4 linked regions of the Oryctolagus cuniculus genome follow. The protein of the gene in region 1 interacts with the protein of each later gene in a pairwise test. Links are inferred from orthologs where the notes say so. Each region holds a gene or a part of one and is shown in the gene's direction. Other genes may lie near its edges.

What was found.
Region 2: the proteins of KHDRBS2 (region 1) and PRR3 interact in binary tests that used the Homo sapiens proteins (3 or more experiments, as listed by UniProt). The two-hybrid records come from large-scale screens. The link is inferred for Oryctolagus cuniculus from reciprocal best matches to the Homo sapiens genes KHDRBS2 and PRR3.
Region 3: the proteins of KHDRBS2 (region 1) and RBM3 interact in binary tests that used the Homo sapiens proteins (3 or more experiments, as listed by UniProt). The link is inferred for Oryctolagus cuniculus from reciprocal best matches to the Homo sapiens genes KHDRBS2 and RBM3.
Region 4: the proteins of KHDRBS2 (region 1) and CHTOP interact in binary tests that used the Homo sapiens proteins (3 or more experiments, as listed by UniProt). The two-hybrid records come from large-scale screens. The link is inferred for Oryctolagus cuniculus from reciprocal best matches to the Homo sapiens genes KHDRBS2 and CHTOP.

The regions. Positions count from the first base shown.
Region 1 is NC_091436.1:110,816,507-110,820,006, forward strand, and holds part of KHDRBS2 (KH domain-containing, RNA-binding, signal transduction-associated protein 2), read left to right. Parts: intron 1-704; coding exon 705-903; intron 904-3,500. UniProt on the Homo sapiens protein: RNA-binding protein that plays a role in the regulation of alternative splicing and influences mRNA splice site selection and exon inclusion. Binds both poly(A) and poly(U) homopolymers. Phosphorylation by PTK6 inhibits its RNA-binding ability.
Region 2 is NC_091436.1:139,856,957-139,860,955, reverse strand, and holds the start of PRR3 (proline-rich protein 3), read left to right. Parts: upstream 1-1,199; 5' UTR 1,200-1,493; intron 1,494-1,695; 5' UTR 1,696-1,712; coding exon 1,713-1,812; intron 1,813-2,491; coding exon 2,492-2,554; intron 2,555-3,999. Other genes in the region: GNL1 (guanine nucleotide-binding protein-like 1), read right to left, coding at 1-120, 526-598.
Region 3 is NC_091453.1:33,791,343-33,795,331, forward strand, and holds the start of RBM3 (RNA-binding protein 3), read left to right. Parts: upstream 1-1,189; 5' UTR 1,190-1,429; intron 1,430-1,605; exon of another isoform or gene 1,606-1,841; intron 1,842-1,977; 5' UTR 1,978-1,994; coding exon 1,995-2,097; intron 2,098-2,296; coding exon 2,297-2,403; intron 2,404-3,049; coding exon 3,050-3,155; intron 3,156-3,254; coding exon 3,255-3,348; intron 3,349-3,728; coding exon 3,729-3,801; coding exon of another isoform or gene 3,802-3,808; 3' UTR 3,809-3,833; intron 3,834-3,989. UniProt on the Homo sapiens protein: Cold-inducible mRNA binding protein that enhances global protein synthesis at both physiological and mild hypothermic temperatures. Reduces the relative abundance of microRNAs, when overexpressed.
Region 4 is NC_091438.1:44,672,275-44,676,444, reverse strand, and holds the start of CHTOP (chromatin target of PRMT1 protein), read left to right. Parts: upstream 1-1,370; 5' UTR 1,371-1,673; exon of another isoform or gene 1,674-1,686; intron 1,687-2,955; 5' UTR 2,956-2,972; coding exon 2,973-3,037; intron 3,038-4,170. Other genes in the region: S100A1 (protein S100-A1), read left to right, coding at 57-200. UniProt on the Homo sapiens protein: Plays an important role in the ligand-dependent activation of estrogen receptor target genes. May play a role in the silencing of fetal globin genes.

The DNA.
Region 1 (3,500 bases):
TTTAGTGCAGGTTACTTTTGTGTCAAGAACTGCAGTACAGAGTGTTCAGTCTATTCTTTTTATTGCAGAGTACTGATGTATTCCACTAGCACTATGGTTACCATAAGAAAATACATTATGTTGGGGACTGCACCAGCTCAGGATTTACAGGTGTGGTGAAAAATTAGTGACAATGAGTTGTGATTTCAAATGACCTCAAACTTAAACTAATGTAATACTCTGAATGCTTTCATATGATTAGAGCTCCACATTTTATTAACGTGCAAACAGACTTTGTTTTTTGTAAATGACAACATTGCACATCACAGTCAGTGACCCCCAGTATGGGGGAAACACAGACATACAATTGCTCTATTTCATAGATGGTCCAGTGAGTTCATGCTCTGCGGTTTGAATCCTCTCAGAAAATATGAAATATAATCAGAGTGGGATTTCTATTTTACTTTGGTTTTTTAGTTATATTGTAGATAGTATCAAAGTATTTTACAAAATTTTCAGGAGAATTAAGTCACAGTTTTTATAAAATGTGTGCTTATATGGAGGTCAGAGCAGTTTACAACTAAATGATCTCTACTACCCACATGTAGAGGGAGATAAATTTGAATTTCTCCCATTGTATGGGAACTGTGAGGTAGGAGCTTTAGCTGTTACAGCCTCTTGTCTCATCACTTGTTTCTCATCTGTTCTAACCCTGTTTCTTCTAGGGGCCGTGGGGGTGCCATTCCTCCTCCCCCACCACCTGGTCGAGGTGTTCTCACCCCTCGCGGGACCACTGTAACTCGTGGAGCTCTTCCAGTGCCCCCAGTAGCGAGAGGTGTCCCTACCCCTCGAGCCCGGGGGACCCCAACAGTGCCAGGATACAGGGCACCCCCTCCTCCATCCCATGAGGCTTATGAAGAATATGTAAGTACCTGATAAAATTGGTTATGAGGAAGAATCAAATTGATTAGTGAATAAGATAAGTCTCAAAAATAGTCACATATTATGAATATAGCAGGTAATATTTATTGTGGAAAACCAATGTCATTTGCAACAGAGGGTAAGAAGCACATTTAAATGAGAGCATTTTGAAAAATGTTTTCATGTTACAGGTACCATCATTGTTGTTAATGACAATTAAATAGCTTGCATTTTAAGATTCAAGTTATCTTGAGGTATTCTTGAGGATGTTTAATCAGAAAATAATTATAAATATGATATGAACTGTCATGTTTTCAGAGAATAATCCTGAGACATAAAAAAGGCTAGCATAAAACTCAGAAATAGTTGATAAATGTAATGTGATCATATTATAAACTTTGGAGATAATGCCAGGGCATGTATGTGACTGGGCTTACATATCTTTCTTTCATCATGTGAAAGAAAGAAGATGGGCAAAAAGAATGCCAAAAAGCCTAGAATGAACAGAAACATCGCAATATCTCTAAGCACCCTTCTCCCTCCGTCCACTGTATCTCTTGATCATTTTGTACATCCACTCTTTGGCTTTCAGTACAGGTCATCTGTATTGCACCTGTGACACTGTAGAGCAGTCTTGTAACCATTTCTCTTTCTAGATTTCGAAACTTCTAAATAGATGAGTTTCTTATTCATTTGTGTAGCCATAGGAAGTCCACTGTAAATGTAAAATTGAATCCAAGATTCATCTAAGATCATCCTAAGAAACAAACTCATTTTTCCTTTAACCACTCCAGCATGCCTATCGCCAATCTAGCTGTTTGTTTCATTCAACCATTACAAACATTCTTTCCTCTAAATGTCTTCTGTGAATTATGCTCATTAAATATAACTCTTCTAGGAGGGTTACCATCACAAGCTGAGCACTCAAATCATATAAATGCCTTAAGAATGGTCTAATAATCAGACTTCAATCCTAAAATAAAACAGTTCATAGGTGTCATGAAGTATATAGTAATATTTTATGTGTGTTAATTTTGGGGGAAGTTATGAAATATTGCCTAATAACTGCAAGTGAAGAAAAATTAACCACAAAAATTACTTTTATTGCAATAGTTGAGGTTCATCTAAAGTATCTTTTATGCATCAGGCATTGATATTTAAAACCTTAGATATTTAAGATCTTAGAATCAGAAAACATAACAATATTGTGAGCAAGTCCAGGAGTCAGAAAACAGAGGGACTAGCTCTGGTTCTGCCAACTCTTGTCTGAGACATCTACATTTCCAAAACAGGGATAATGGGATCATTTTTTATCTCTGAGTAACCTTTTAGCACCACAATCTTTATGTCCATTGCTACTATGGTGTTTTTGTCCTTCAAACAGAGGCTTGAACTATCAGATCTACTTTTTTTTTTTTTTTGTCAAAAGAGATTTTTTAGGTTTCTGTAGTGAACATTGTTATTAATCAAAAAGTTTACATGAGAAATATGGCCCTATGAAAGAGGACAAGATCAACAAAACAGAATTGTAACTTTTCACGTTCATTCCAACTTAACCAGTGGGGGAAAAAATCAAGAGCAAGTCTTCTATTTTAAAAGGTTTATTCTGCCTGCATCATGGAGAATGGAATATAGGGGTGGGGATGAACACAGCAGTAGAAACAGAGAAACTAGTAACTCATGGCAAAATTCTGCCACTGATAAAAATGAGGGCTTGGAGGGGGGGAAAAAGAGGTCAGATTCTGAGTGCACTGTGAAAATGATGTGTTGGATTTGGTGAATGGACAGGTATGTGTTGTATGAAAGAGACAAGGGTAAAGGATGATCTTTCTATTTCTGATCTAAAAACTGGGTTAAATTGAGTCACCATTTATTGAAATGAGGAGTTCAAAGCAAGAAGTTAAAATTCAGTTGGAGATTCTGCTGAAGGGTATTCAGCACAGTCTGCAGCATTTCTGAATGGACAGGAATAGTGTTTCAAAACAGACAGCCTATCCTAAGATTTAAATTCCAGCTGTGTCACCAGTTGTATGACTTTATAGATAGTTTGAGGCTGGGATTTATCTTCTATGTAATGGGGGTGGTCAGTTCAGCCCCACTAGACTGTCCTGAAGATCAGATATAAATATTTTTAAGCACTGAAACATTTCTAAGTACCTATAATAATATTGGTGTTCAGTAAGACGTGGTATGTATAATGTCATAGACATTTACCTAGATTTTGTGAATCAGATGGGCATTATTGAGTACAAATAGAAGCATTTGAGCTTATTTTAGGAAAGAAAAATAACTGGCAGAGGCAGGAGTGTAACATGAATCTAAGTTCATAAATATAGTAAGAGAAGTGCTATGAAACATTAAGAAAAGTCTGGACCAAGGTACCAGAAAGCTATAAGGAGTCTCATCTCTTACTTTGATTCTGTTTGTTCCTATTATGTGTTCCTGTTCCATTCCTATCTATAGAGTTTTTGATATGTATGATCAGTGAGACTGAACACATAACAAAATATGGCCACAGTAGGGCTGCTATTGAAATAATGTCTAGCTCTAGTCACGAGCAGAAACTGTCCCTCGGGCTGTCTCCTAGTCTTGATCCAAAT
Region 2 (3,999 bases), about 29 Mb from region 1:
GATTAAGCCTGCGGATGTGATGGGTCACAGACTCCCCGTCCGAGGTGTCAGTCTGCTCCTCCCGCCGCTCCCGGCTCCCGCTGCGGCTGTTGGAACTGGAGCGCAGCCCATCTTGAAGTCCTGCGGGGAGGGGCCGGTGACGCCAGCGCTGGCCGGCTCTCAGGGGCCATAAGACCCCCCCCCCACGCCCCCGCCCCGGCCCCAGCCCCGGGAGGCCTGGCTCCCCTCCACCCACCCAACTTCCTCCGCGGCTCGGCCCTCCCAGCCACGCGCCCCAGGACCCCTCCGGATGTGCGCGGGGGCAGTCGCTGCTCCAGGGAGCTGCGGGAACGGCTTCCCCTCCCCCAGCTCCCCATCCTCGCCCACCCCTTCCAGCTATGGGGGAACCCCTCCACGGCCGCCCGCGCACCTCGGCGCGCGCTCGCCGCCCCCTCCCACGCCCCCTCCCCAGGTGCAGCGGGCACACCCCTCCCTCAGAGGTGCGGGAGCCCGAGCCCCGCCCCCTCCGCCCGCTCCCGCACTGACCTCGCTTCCGTTCGCGCTTGTCCTGCAGCTGCTTCTTCTTCTGCTTCACGCTGAAGGGCTTCTTCCTCGGCATGGCCCGGACCAGTCACCGGGCCCGCCCCTCCGCCGAGCTCCCGCCGCCTCAACTGACTCCCGGGGGCAGCCCCCGCCGCCAGGGCCCGGGACCCTCGAGGAGGCGGGGCTAGCGGGTGACGTCACGGACGGGCCGGGCCGGCCGGCGGCGACTGCCGGGACGGAAAGCAGACACGGGGTGGTCACGTCTCTCCCGGAGCGAGGCGAGGGGCTGAGGGGACGGGGCAGGCGGCCGGCACGTGAGAGTCAGCGGCACCGGCGGGGCGCAGCGGCGGTGGAGGAGGAGGCGCGCGTGGGAGGATCGGGCCCGCTCCGTCACGGACGCTACCAACGGGCGCCCGCAGGAGGGGGGGCGCGTGTCATCACTACCTTGCGCTCCCGGGAGACGCTACCACTCACCTGGCGGGGGCGGCGGAGCGGAGGGCGGGCCCAGCTACCTTCGGAGGGAGGGGGCGGGGACGCGCCGAGGCGACAGCACCGAGCGGGGATTGGCCTGGGTGGAAAGCGGAGACGGAGCACCCCGAGAGGGAAGCCCGCTTGCTGGCGACTCGTGGGGCACGGCCGGAGGTCTTAAGGGGCGGGTGGCGTTCTGCCGGTTCCCGGGCGCGGACCTGCTGGGACCCGAATTTCGATGCTAACGGGCGGGTCTGCAGATCCCAAGCGCGGGCGGGAAGGGAGACCCAGGTGGGACAAGGACTTTTGGAGGGAGGTCAGAGGGCACCGAGTTGTGCCTGCGGCTGTTCCCATGGTAACAGGGCACCGGAAGTGGCGACGTTAGGACGCGACAGCCCGCTCTCAGGCCGTCCGGCCCGGAAGCCCGTGGGCTCTGCAGCACACTGTGGTGTTTCTTGGCGGAGGAGAGGGCACTTGTAAGCACTTGGAGAGATGCAGCAAAGGTAAGGTTTGAGGTTGCCGCCGTGCCTAGCAGAGCGGGAGCGGGGCGGTTTTCGGGCGGGTGCGGCCGCGGCAGGGGCTCCCCGCTGCCTCCCGGAAGTGGAATGGCGGGAGCCTCAGCCCCGCTGCCCACCGGGCTCCCCCCGGAAGCGGAAACAGCTTCCAGCGTGCCCCTTCCTCACTGCCCTCCAAATCCCGCTGCAGCCATTGCCGCAGCCACGATGCCGAAACGAAAGAAGCAGAATCCGCAGCCGCCGCCACAGCAGCCCCCACGGCCCGAGCGGGAGGAGACTGGAGACGAGGAAGATGGTTGTCCCATGGGTAAGGGAGCGCACGTTCTCGGCAGCTGGGCCAGGCTGGGGCCAGGGACTAGGCAGGTGCGGGGGAGGGGGCGCTCACGGAAGGCGCGAGGGCGCACGCGCAGGGGAAGGGGCTGTCCTGCATGCAGCTTTAAGCCAGGAGTTTACTCACCTGAACTCCTGGCCTTTATCCGGCCCCCAAACCTTTCTGGAGGAGGCGGGGGAGGAAAAGCTAAAGTGCGGAGTGCGCAGCCGCAGGAGGAGAGGTGCGCGATGTTGCAGGCTGTGGCGGGTGGGAGCGCAGTCTGAGATCAAACTAGGAGGGTAGAATGCAGTGCGGCCGCCTTTTAAGCACTCCCCTGGGGGAGGGGGAGGGGAAAAGAGCTGTTTGATTGGCCAGCAGTTCAGGTGGGGGATTGAATTAGCCCTGGAATTACCTAGGATGTTGTGGTTGCACCAGTATGAGGGAAAGACAGTGGTCAGCGTCATTCCTGCATGACCGGGTTTCCTGAGTCTCTGCTTTCTAGCAGAACATGGAAACAGCTTGGCAGAGGAAAGGGCCCACAGATGGGGTGAGAATGTGCAACACTGATGATACATAGCTCACTTCGCTGATTGAGTTAAGGAGTGCATTCTAGAAGGACATCTGAGGACAGGATCATAGCCCATTCTGATGACGGTATTTTCATGTCTACTCTTAGGACCACCCAGCCTTCTGGGCCCTCCCCCCATGGCCAATGGAAAGCCTGGTGACCCCAAGTCAGGTGAGGAGGAGGGGACCCGGATCCTTGTATTAGATGCTGGAGAAGGGTGCAAGAGGAGAAGTGAAACCTAGCAAGAATTTCACATCTTACAATCCAGGATTCGATGCCTAAGTGAATGGAGAGAAGTTATGCATTCACAGACTGGAAAAGTCATAATATTGGCGTGAAAATGCAGGGAATCAGGGTGAGAGACTGTAAAGACAGTGTAAGTGAGAGGGCTACTCTGAACATCAAGATTTTTTGTAAAGCTACAGTGGTTACAGCTGTGACTTTGATGCAACAGAACAGATTAAAAAGGCAAGTAACAGGCCCACACATAATGAAAGTGCCTCAAAAAATTGATGGAAAACAGTTAAAACATAAGTTTATCTTGGTGCCTAAAATTTTCAAAGTGCATGCATGGTTTTTTCCTAATATGTGTTTTCTGTGAATTTTTTGACGTCTTCGTGTGTGAGCTCTTCATTTATAAAGATAGAACTGAAAAAGTGGTCTTTTCGATAAATGATGCTAGATCAGTTGGATAGTCGTGTAGGAAACGAATGGAATTTAACCTCCTCACAGTCTTAAAAATAACAGTACTAGTTGGACTGCAGATCTAAGTATAAAAGGTAAAAGAAAAATTATTGTAGAAAGTAAGTGTATATTCTTGGTCTTAGAGTAGCTAACAGTTCTTAGATGAGAAATACACATACACAAATTATAAAGAAAAGATTACTATATTCAACTACATTAGGTAACATAAACTTCTTTTAATCAGATGACATTGATTAACAGGAAGCCATAGAGTAGAAGACGGTATGTTCAACAAATATAACCAATAAAGAGCTCTTATCTGGAATATAAGAAGAACTCTTCCAGACAGTTCATTAGAAAAATTGGCAGAAGACCAGAACAGATTCTGGAGATCTTAATGGACCCAAACTGTGTGAACTAGTAGTCAACATCATTAGTCATCAAATACAGAATGAAAATATACCACGTTGGAGTTGGAACTCGTATGCATTATTGATGGGATTGTAAAATGGTACAAGCACTATGGAAAACAATATGGAATTTCTTCAAAAACTTAGAACTGCCATATGATCCAGTCCCACTTGTGGATATATATCCAAAATTATTGAAAGCAGGGTCTTGAGGAGATGTTTGCCCACCCATGTTCGTAGAGTATTCCCAGTAGGCAAGACCTGGAAGCATCCCAAATGTCCATTGATAGAAGAATGGATAAGCGAAGATAAAAGTACAATGGAATACCTTAAAAAAGGAAGAAAATGCTGTCACATAACTACAACCCAGATGAACTTGGAGGACTTTCTAAGTGAAACAAGCCCGTCACAGACAAATGCTGTATGATTCCACTTACATGAGGTATCTCAAGTCAAACTCATAGAAACAATAGAATGGTGGCTACCAGGGGCTGGGGGGCAGAGGGATGGAGGAAAGGGAAT
Region 3 (3,989 bases), on another chromosome or scaffold:
CCAGGGCTGGGCCAGGCCAAAGCCAGGAGCCAGAAAGCCCATTAGCAGGAGGCTGGATTAGAAGCATACAGTAGGGGCTGGCACTGTGGCGCAGTAGGCTAAGCCTCTGTCTGTGGCTCTGGCATCCCATATGGGTGCCGGTTCGTGTCCTGGCTGCTCCTCTTGTGACCCAGCTCCCTGAAAATGTACCTGAGAAAGCAGTGGGAGATGGCCCAAGTCCTTGGGCCCCTGCACCAGCATGGGAGACCTGGAAGAAGCTCCTGGCTCCTGGCTTCGGATCGGCACAGCTCCGTTGGAGTGAACCAGTGGATAGAAGACCTCTCTCTCTGCCTCTCTGTAACTCTGCCCTTCAAATAAATAAAATCTTTTTTAAAAAATATTTTATTTATTTATTTGAGAGAAGGAGAGAGACAGAAAAAAATCTTCCATAGACAGAGAGAGGGAGAGAGAGGGAAAGGTCTTCCATCGCTGGTTCACTCCTCAAACTGCCACAACAGCTGGAGCTGGGCTGATCTGAAGCCAGGAGCTTCTTCAGGGTCTCCCATGCAGGTGCAGGGGCCCAAGGACTGGAGCCATCTCCTACTGCTTTCCCAGGCCATAGCAGAGAGCTGGATCAGAAGAGGAGCACCCGGGACATGAAACAGTGCCCATACAGGACATCGGCACTGCAGACAGGCTTAGCCTACTACACCACAGCACCTGACCCAGGCGTCACGTTTTGTAGAAAGCATCTCAGGCAGTTCCTGTAGAGGGTGGCTTCATGGGCAAGCAGAGAGAATGAGGGCTGACGTCAGAGATACAAAGGAATGACGCCGGGATAAAGGGTGCCAGGGCAAGCGGCTAAATGTGGGTCACACAGGAGAAAACCTACGAGTTAAAAGCAGAAACTGAGAAAAGGTAGGGTCTAAGGCAAGAGCGATGGGAACGTCAGGCCCTTAAGGGATATGAGGGGAGGGGACTAGAAGATGACGGAGGCTGAGAGCAGAGCACGGCAAATACGTTGGCAGGGATGTTAGGAGGCTACCGGAGCCAAGTGGAAAAAATGACATCAAGGACAGTGAGGGTGATAGGAACAGAAAGGGATGTGAGAGCTAAATGGTTTCCGCGCGCAAGGGAACAAAGTGTCTCAGACGCAGGCAGGAGGCTGCCGTTAGGGGGCACCAATTGCAAAAACGTGGGCTCCATTCCCGGGCGCGCACGGAGAGGCTTGTTCCCTTCGCTCTGCCATCCCTTCCTCTCCACCCTTCCTCTGGCCTCAGCCAGTGAACAGGCACGCCAGAGCACGTTGACTGACGGAGTGGGGGAGGACGTCCCGTGACGTGCCCTCTACGTGTGCTTTATCAGGCGTCTTCGCGCACGGCTGCTTCCCTGTTCTCTCTGCTCCCGCGAGGTGGCCATTTGCCTGCCGCTTTTACTTTTTAATTTTTAGGTAAGCAAAGTAAATCTCGCAGAACGACTCCCTTGGTATGCTGCGGCGGCCAGGAGGAAGGGGCGCGGGTGGGGAAGGGAGCAGCCGCTGACACGTATGCTTAGGCGTTGGTCGGGGTGGGCGGCGGGTTTCGTGCGTACACATGAAACATGTCGGTTGTTGGGAGCTTGGCGCGCTTTATCTAAGTGCAGAGAAAGGCTGCCAGCGTCCGGGGCAGTAGTGACCACACGACGGCCGGGACACTGGGACACCCCCCCCCCGCTCCCCACGTGACCGCCGCCATCTTGTGCGCGCGCGGAGGAAACGCGCGAGTGTTCTGAGTCTGCGCAGCAGTACAAAATGACGGGCGTGGCACCTGGGAGGTTGTGGGCATGCGCAATGGCGGCCTTCAAATGGCGACTCCTCTAAACCGGTAGATTTTCCTTCCCTTTCAGATTGCACCCATTCATTATTTTGTTCCCTTTTGTGTATTTTCTGTGTATCTCTTTAATCCTTAGTTTGCCTGACCTTTTTTTTTTGAATACCCTGGTCCATTCCGTTCCCCGCAGGACTCGAACTCATTGCCATGTCCTCTGAAGAAGGGAAGCTGTTCATTGGAGGGCTTAACTTCAACACCGATGAGCAAGCGCTGGAAGACCACTTCAGCAGCTTCGGGCCTATTTCTGAGGGTGAGACTTGGAGTCGGACCCGCGATGATGGAGCAGGTCATGTCAGGGAACGTTCAGGGAGGACCCAGACGGTCGATTTATCCTTTTCCCGCGTTCCTAGGCCTGAAGTGTACATTTCGGAGGACTCCGTGAGATTGTGTTGGTCCCTGCTTTGCAGGCCACCCTCGTCACCGCCTTTCCCATCTCTCTCCTCCCGCAGTGGTCGTTGTCAAGGACCGGGAGACTCAGCGATCCCGGGGTTTTGGCTTCATCACCTTCACAAACCCAGAGCACGCCTCTGACGCCATGAGAGCCATGAATGGAGAGGTGAGGCCTTCTGCCTGCAGAGGGGCCCTGTCCCCATCTGCCGTTCCTCCGTTCCTTCTGTTTTTCCCTCTGTGTCTGCTAGGGGCAGCGTGGCCACCAAGCCCCGCAGTGCCCACTCACAGGAGCGTGACTGCCTTCTGTTCTAGGGGGTGGAGGGCAGCGGCACACAGAGCCGGGCTGCCTGGGAGGCGACGACTGGTCCTGCATGAGGCCGAGAAGCCACCTGTGGATGGTTGACCTGCCCTGGGCTTAGGTAGTAGAGTCTGCAGACCTGTGGGCCTGGCCCGGAGAGGACCTCGTGAGTCTTCTGGGATGGACTCGGAAGCCTCAAACCAAGAGAGGTGTCTGTCTAGCCCTAATAGTCGGGCAGCTTAGAGGAGTGGGGAGGAGAACTCAGCCTGAGTTCAGTCAAGATGTAAGTAGTGGCAGGGGGAACACGGTGGATACAGGTCATTTTGTGGGATGCTGTAGCTCCTGATGAAGCCATTCTGGTCAAAGGAGCTTGTTCTGGAACATGGCACCCAGAACCTGGTGCCCAGCAGGAATTTCTGGGCTCTTAGGCCCACCTGCCCATGCCCGCTCTGAGCTCGCCACTGCCCTGACTGACTGCCAATCCGCCCTCCTTGTGTCTCCCTGCCACGCCTAGTCCCTGGATGGTCGGCAGATCCGCGTGGACCACGCAGGCAAGTCTGCCCGGGGAACCAGAGGGGGTGCCTTTGGGGCCCATGGGCGTGGTCGCAGCTACTCCAGAGGTGAGTGTGTAGTCAGTTTGATCCTGGCGTGTGGGGCATCCGCCTATTAGTACCGTGTGTCTGGACAACTGCTGCTTAAATATTTCTCACCTGCTGTAGGTGGTGGGGACCAGGGCTATGGGAGCAGCAGGTATGACTCTCGACCTGGAGGATATGGATACGGATATGGACGGTCCCGGGACTACGGTGGCAGGTTGGTAGTCGGGGTGGGGTGGGGTGGGGTGCTCCGCTCCTCTGTCCCTAAGCGCTCAGCTGCCTGGGGATCCGCACGCCTGTCACACCTAGGTGTTACTAGTGTGCACTAAGGACGGGTATGAACTACAACATTTTGTGTTACGTAATGCATTGTGTGGTCATTTGATCGCACCAGGACTGAGTGGTAATACTTTTGTGTTGATTGTGCTGTGTTTGATTGGTGACTCTAGTGCACCAAACGTGATAGAATTTAATACGGTACGTGTAACTTGTATGCATGAAGCTGTGTTCCCTAGACATAGTCTTGAAGTTGCTGTGTCCTGTTTTATGCATTCAGTTAACATGACATACATAGCTGTGTATAATGTTCGTGTAAAGCTCACGTGCTTTTCCCCAGAAGCCAGGGTGGTTACGAACGCTACTCAGGAGGAAACTACAGGGACAATTATGACAACTGAGATGCAGTGTGTGCCCATACCGTAGGTGAGGCCTGGACTTGGGCAGTGAGCAGACCTCCGTCTGTCGAACCCTGCTGTGCTTCTCTCTGCCTTCCTTCCAGACTGTTAGCATTTCTTCCCTCGCATCCCTTACCCACCCAGCATTTCTGGGCCTTTTTTGCTTGCAGTGCATGTCAGGGTT
Region 4 (4,170 bases), on another chromosome or scaffold:
CCTCTGGCCCTGGACTCGGTGCTGGACACCTCTCCCGCTCTCTCCCCCCTCCACAGGCCCAGAAGGATGCAGATGCCGTGGACAAGGTGATGAAGGAACTGGACGAGGACGGAGACGGGGAGGTGGACTTCCAGGAGTACGTGGTGCTGGTGGCTGCTCTCACAGTGGCCTGTAACAACTTCTTCTGGGAGAACAGTTGAGCAGACAGCCCCAGAGGGCAGCGCCCTACCGCTCCGTCCCCCCAGACCTGCCCCTACACCCGGCTACCACCTCACACTCCCCCACACACCCAGGGCGCCAAGCAGCAGGCCCGCCCTGCAGCTCATCTCTCATTAAAGGCTCCTCTATTGCCAGCCGTCTGGTGTCTGTCTCCTGTGGGTCCGGAAGGGCAGCCCTGAGGGGTTTCGCTCCACTTATTTTGGAGGGAGGTCACGTGCATTCCATCTGCCTTAATGCTCAGTGGGGTTCCAGGTTCCAGCTGGAAGGGGAGACGTCTGCTTCCCAGCTGTAAAAACAGAAAAATCTCCTTTCAATCCTCAGCAGATATTTACAGGGGTCCTACCTTGTGCAGGAACTGGGGATACAGCAGTGAGCAAAATAAACACCATGGTCACCCTCACTGGGTGAAGTCCAGCAAGGAGAGAGGCCCACTAAAAATGCACACATACAACTCAGTGCCCAGAGCGAGGGTAGAGGAAGCCCCCACTGTGTGCTTTCTCTCTTTCCTCCAACGTTTGAGGACGTGATTGTGTGGCCATAAGGAAAATCCTTTCATAGGTCTGCACTAAATTCCCAGGGAGGGGAGGGGAAGGGGGATCCGGGACCTGATCAGAGGAGAGTTGAAAAACAGCCAAGTCAGGGAAGAGGAAAACATGGACGGGCAATGGAGGCTGCGGCGGATGGCAGGAGGTGTGCCCCCAGCACTGGCTTGCCCTGGCCTTTGCAGCACTTCACGACCCAAACAGCGAAGGGGCGCGGGGGAAAGCCACCAGTGCCAATCACCCGGCTCTGGCATTGCCAGAGACCAAAGCAGGTTCCGCTTTAAGATTTGTAAACATGATGCCTTAGCCAAGGGCGTGGGGAGAAAGGCCCGAAGGAACACGAACTCTTTCCTAACGGGACTAAAACCTCTCTTGGGAGCAGGGCCGCTGACAACTCCAGGAGGTAGCAGTTAATACCCGCTAGAATAGCGAAGCCACTAGCCACGCCCCGGGGGCGGAGCCATCTGTGTAACTCTAAAGCCCCTCCTTCCCACCCAGGGCTCCGCCCCCTAGCTCTGCGCAGGGCGTGACAAATCCCCGCCCCCTACTAGTGCGCGGATCCAACGTCTGACGCAATTGCGTCGGCGCCATTTTAGCCGGTCCCATGCCGCACTGGGCGTGGCGGCCATTTTGTTTTGGAGAGCGAGCGGGAGTTGGCGGCGGCAGCTGTGGTGGCACAGACTGAAGGCAGGGAAGGGCAGGCCGGGCGATCAGGCGGGTCGGCCAACGACACAGCCAGCCAACAGCCACGGACTAGCCTCGCAGTCTACCACTTAAGCATCTGACCCAACCGCCCATCTAATTAACCGGAGCCCCTCCACCGTCAATTACTGAGGTTCGGCCGGTCCCCGGCCCGCCCTGCCGCAGCCGTGCTGGCAGCCCCGGGAGGAGCACTGGCGTCCGTTTCCTTCGGTGCGTCTCTGTGGTGAGAGAAGGGGAGCGGAAGGAGCCGGCGGACGCGCATGGGGGGCGGTGGGCTGCGGGGACCGCGGGGGAGGGGGCGGGGCCGCGGAGGGGGGAGGGGCTGCGCCGGCCGCGACCCCGCGGCGGGGTTCACGGAGGCTGTCGTTGGGTACCGAGGAAAAGAAAGATCGTTGGACGAGTTGAGCAAAGTTGGCGGTCTTGACAGGGCTTTGAAGACTAGTGTTGGAAACAGTGGCGTGCTTAGGGTTAAGTTCTGTAGAGGGCTCCCTGGGAGCCAGCTCCCAGATGAATGCCCGTTTAGGGAACCTTTCCTGTTCCTTTCTCCAGATCCTTAGTCCGTTGTTAAGTTCTGACTTGGGAATAGGAAACCGATTTTGAGACTAGGCATGCCTGTATTTTCTTTCTAAACCGGCAGCTGTCAACCTCAGCTACTCATTAGAAGCACCTGGGTAGCTACCCCTCCCCCCACGCCCCTATTGATGAGCCCCAGACCTCCACCATCAGAGATTGCGGTTTGATCGGTCTGAGCCCAGGCATCTGTTTCTTGAAAGCCCCCTGTGGAAAAACAGGCTGAAAAGGACGAGTCTGGATCGAAAGCCAGACTCTCTTGCACCTTCTTGAGCTGTTTCTGCCATTTTGGACCATTTGGCAGATATTACATGCCTTTTGGCCTTGAAATTGAATAATTTCTCATGTAAACTTGAAGTGAGCTTCGATTTGAGGGTGCTTTTTAAAATTTTATAGAAAATTGAATTGAAAGACATTTTGGTGCAAAATAATTTTTGCATTCTATGCAGTCTTTTGTAGTATACGTTTCTATAAACTTTTTTTTTAAGCATTTGTGTATATGAAAGAGAGATCTTCCATCTGCTGGTTTACTCTCCAGATGGCCACAAAGGCCAGGTCTGGGCCAGGCTGAAGCCATTAACCAGGATCTCCATCCGGTTTTCCAACGGGTGGCAGGGATCAGATACTTCAGCCATCACCTGCCGCCTCCCAGGCCTGCAGGGAGCTATTCTGGAGGTGGAGTAGCTGAACCACAATGCCTGCCCCTCCAGAAACTTTTTCAGGATAGATCCCTTACATGCATAGATTCTAAAAAATTTCTTACCAAAGCAAAGTTACCTTTTAATTCCGTTTCCCATGAACTTTGAAGTACCCTCCCGTGTTCCTCAGGAGTCAGTGGTAAGGCTTTTTCGGTGGTTTGGGCCTTGTTCTGTATAAGGTGGCTGTTATTCTGACCTGCTCATTCTGCTGTTGTCCTTTGTAGATTCTCGGGATCTGAAGATGGCTGCTCAGTCAGCGCCGAAAGTTGTGCTAAAAAGCACCACCAAGATGTCTCTGAATGAGCGGTGAGGCAGCCAACAACAACTTCAGCTCCTTCCTAAGAAAACATTACTTAAATTGGCCCTGGGGTCCAATGCACAAAACAGTTGTAAGCTAAATATCAACAGAAGGCTACAGACCTCTGTTCTTAGTTACATCTAATGTGGTGCACAAAACAAATTGGGCGGTTGTTTCAAAACCCCTTATCAGTAGATTTTTATGTTAAGCTGTCTGAAATATTTATCCAGTGGGATGTATTTTAAAAAGACTCCTCACACCCTCCCTTTTCTTCAAGTTTTTTTGTTTTTGTTTTTGTTTTTGAACACGTTGATACAGGGGTTGTGCAGCATGGGAGCATGGGACCCTGGCTGCAGTAGGCTTGCTGCCTAGTCCAAGGCCAGCAGTGTTGCATCTGGCCTGTAAGAGGCAGGTAGCAAGCTGTGACTATGTCCAAAGGCCCTCGAATGTCATTCTTGGGCCTTGTAAGAGGCACTTGCTTTGCTCCATTTCACTTTTCTTTCCATTCTGCTTTTAGTTTGTTTTTGCTTTGGATTCTTTTACAGTTAAGTGTTCTTCTCTTCCATTCCATTAAACTTAACCATGACAAGAACAAAAAAGGAGTGTCTTCATGGGCCCTTAAATGATTGAATTAATCATTTCCAAAGATAACTGCTTGGAGACAGAAAAAGTGATCATTTGACACTAAGAAAAGTTAAGGTATTTAAGGCAGTTTCTATCTCTGAGAACTTTGCTCACTGAGTTACCTTTGAGCAGTGATTTTATTAAACCAGTGTTGGACCACTAAAAGGTTACAATGTCTCCTTTTGCCTTTTCTGGAGCCTATGTACTTCTCTCTTCAGATACACTAGTCCTCCATATCCACATGTTACTGAGTGACAAATATATTTAAAAATTGATGGCATTCCTATAACTTCTATGGCTATGGTGTTGTCATGGGTTTTGAAGGTGTTCTGGTCTCATATTTCTTTTCAAAAACCTCCAAGGTTTAAGCTTTCTTTGTTTGTCTTTGAAATTACATCTTCTGTCTCTTGTCATATCTGCTTATTGCGTGTTTTTCATACCTTCCACTTCTCTGAGAGCCATTACCTGAGCCCTTGTTATCACTTTGGATTGAATGTGCTGCACTTAGCTGCATTTC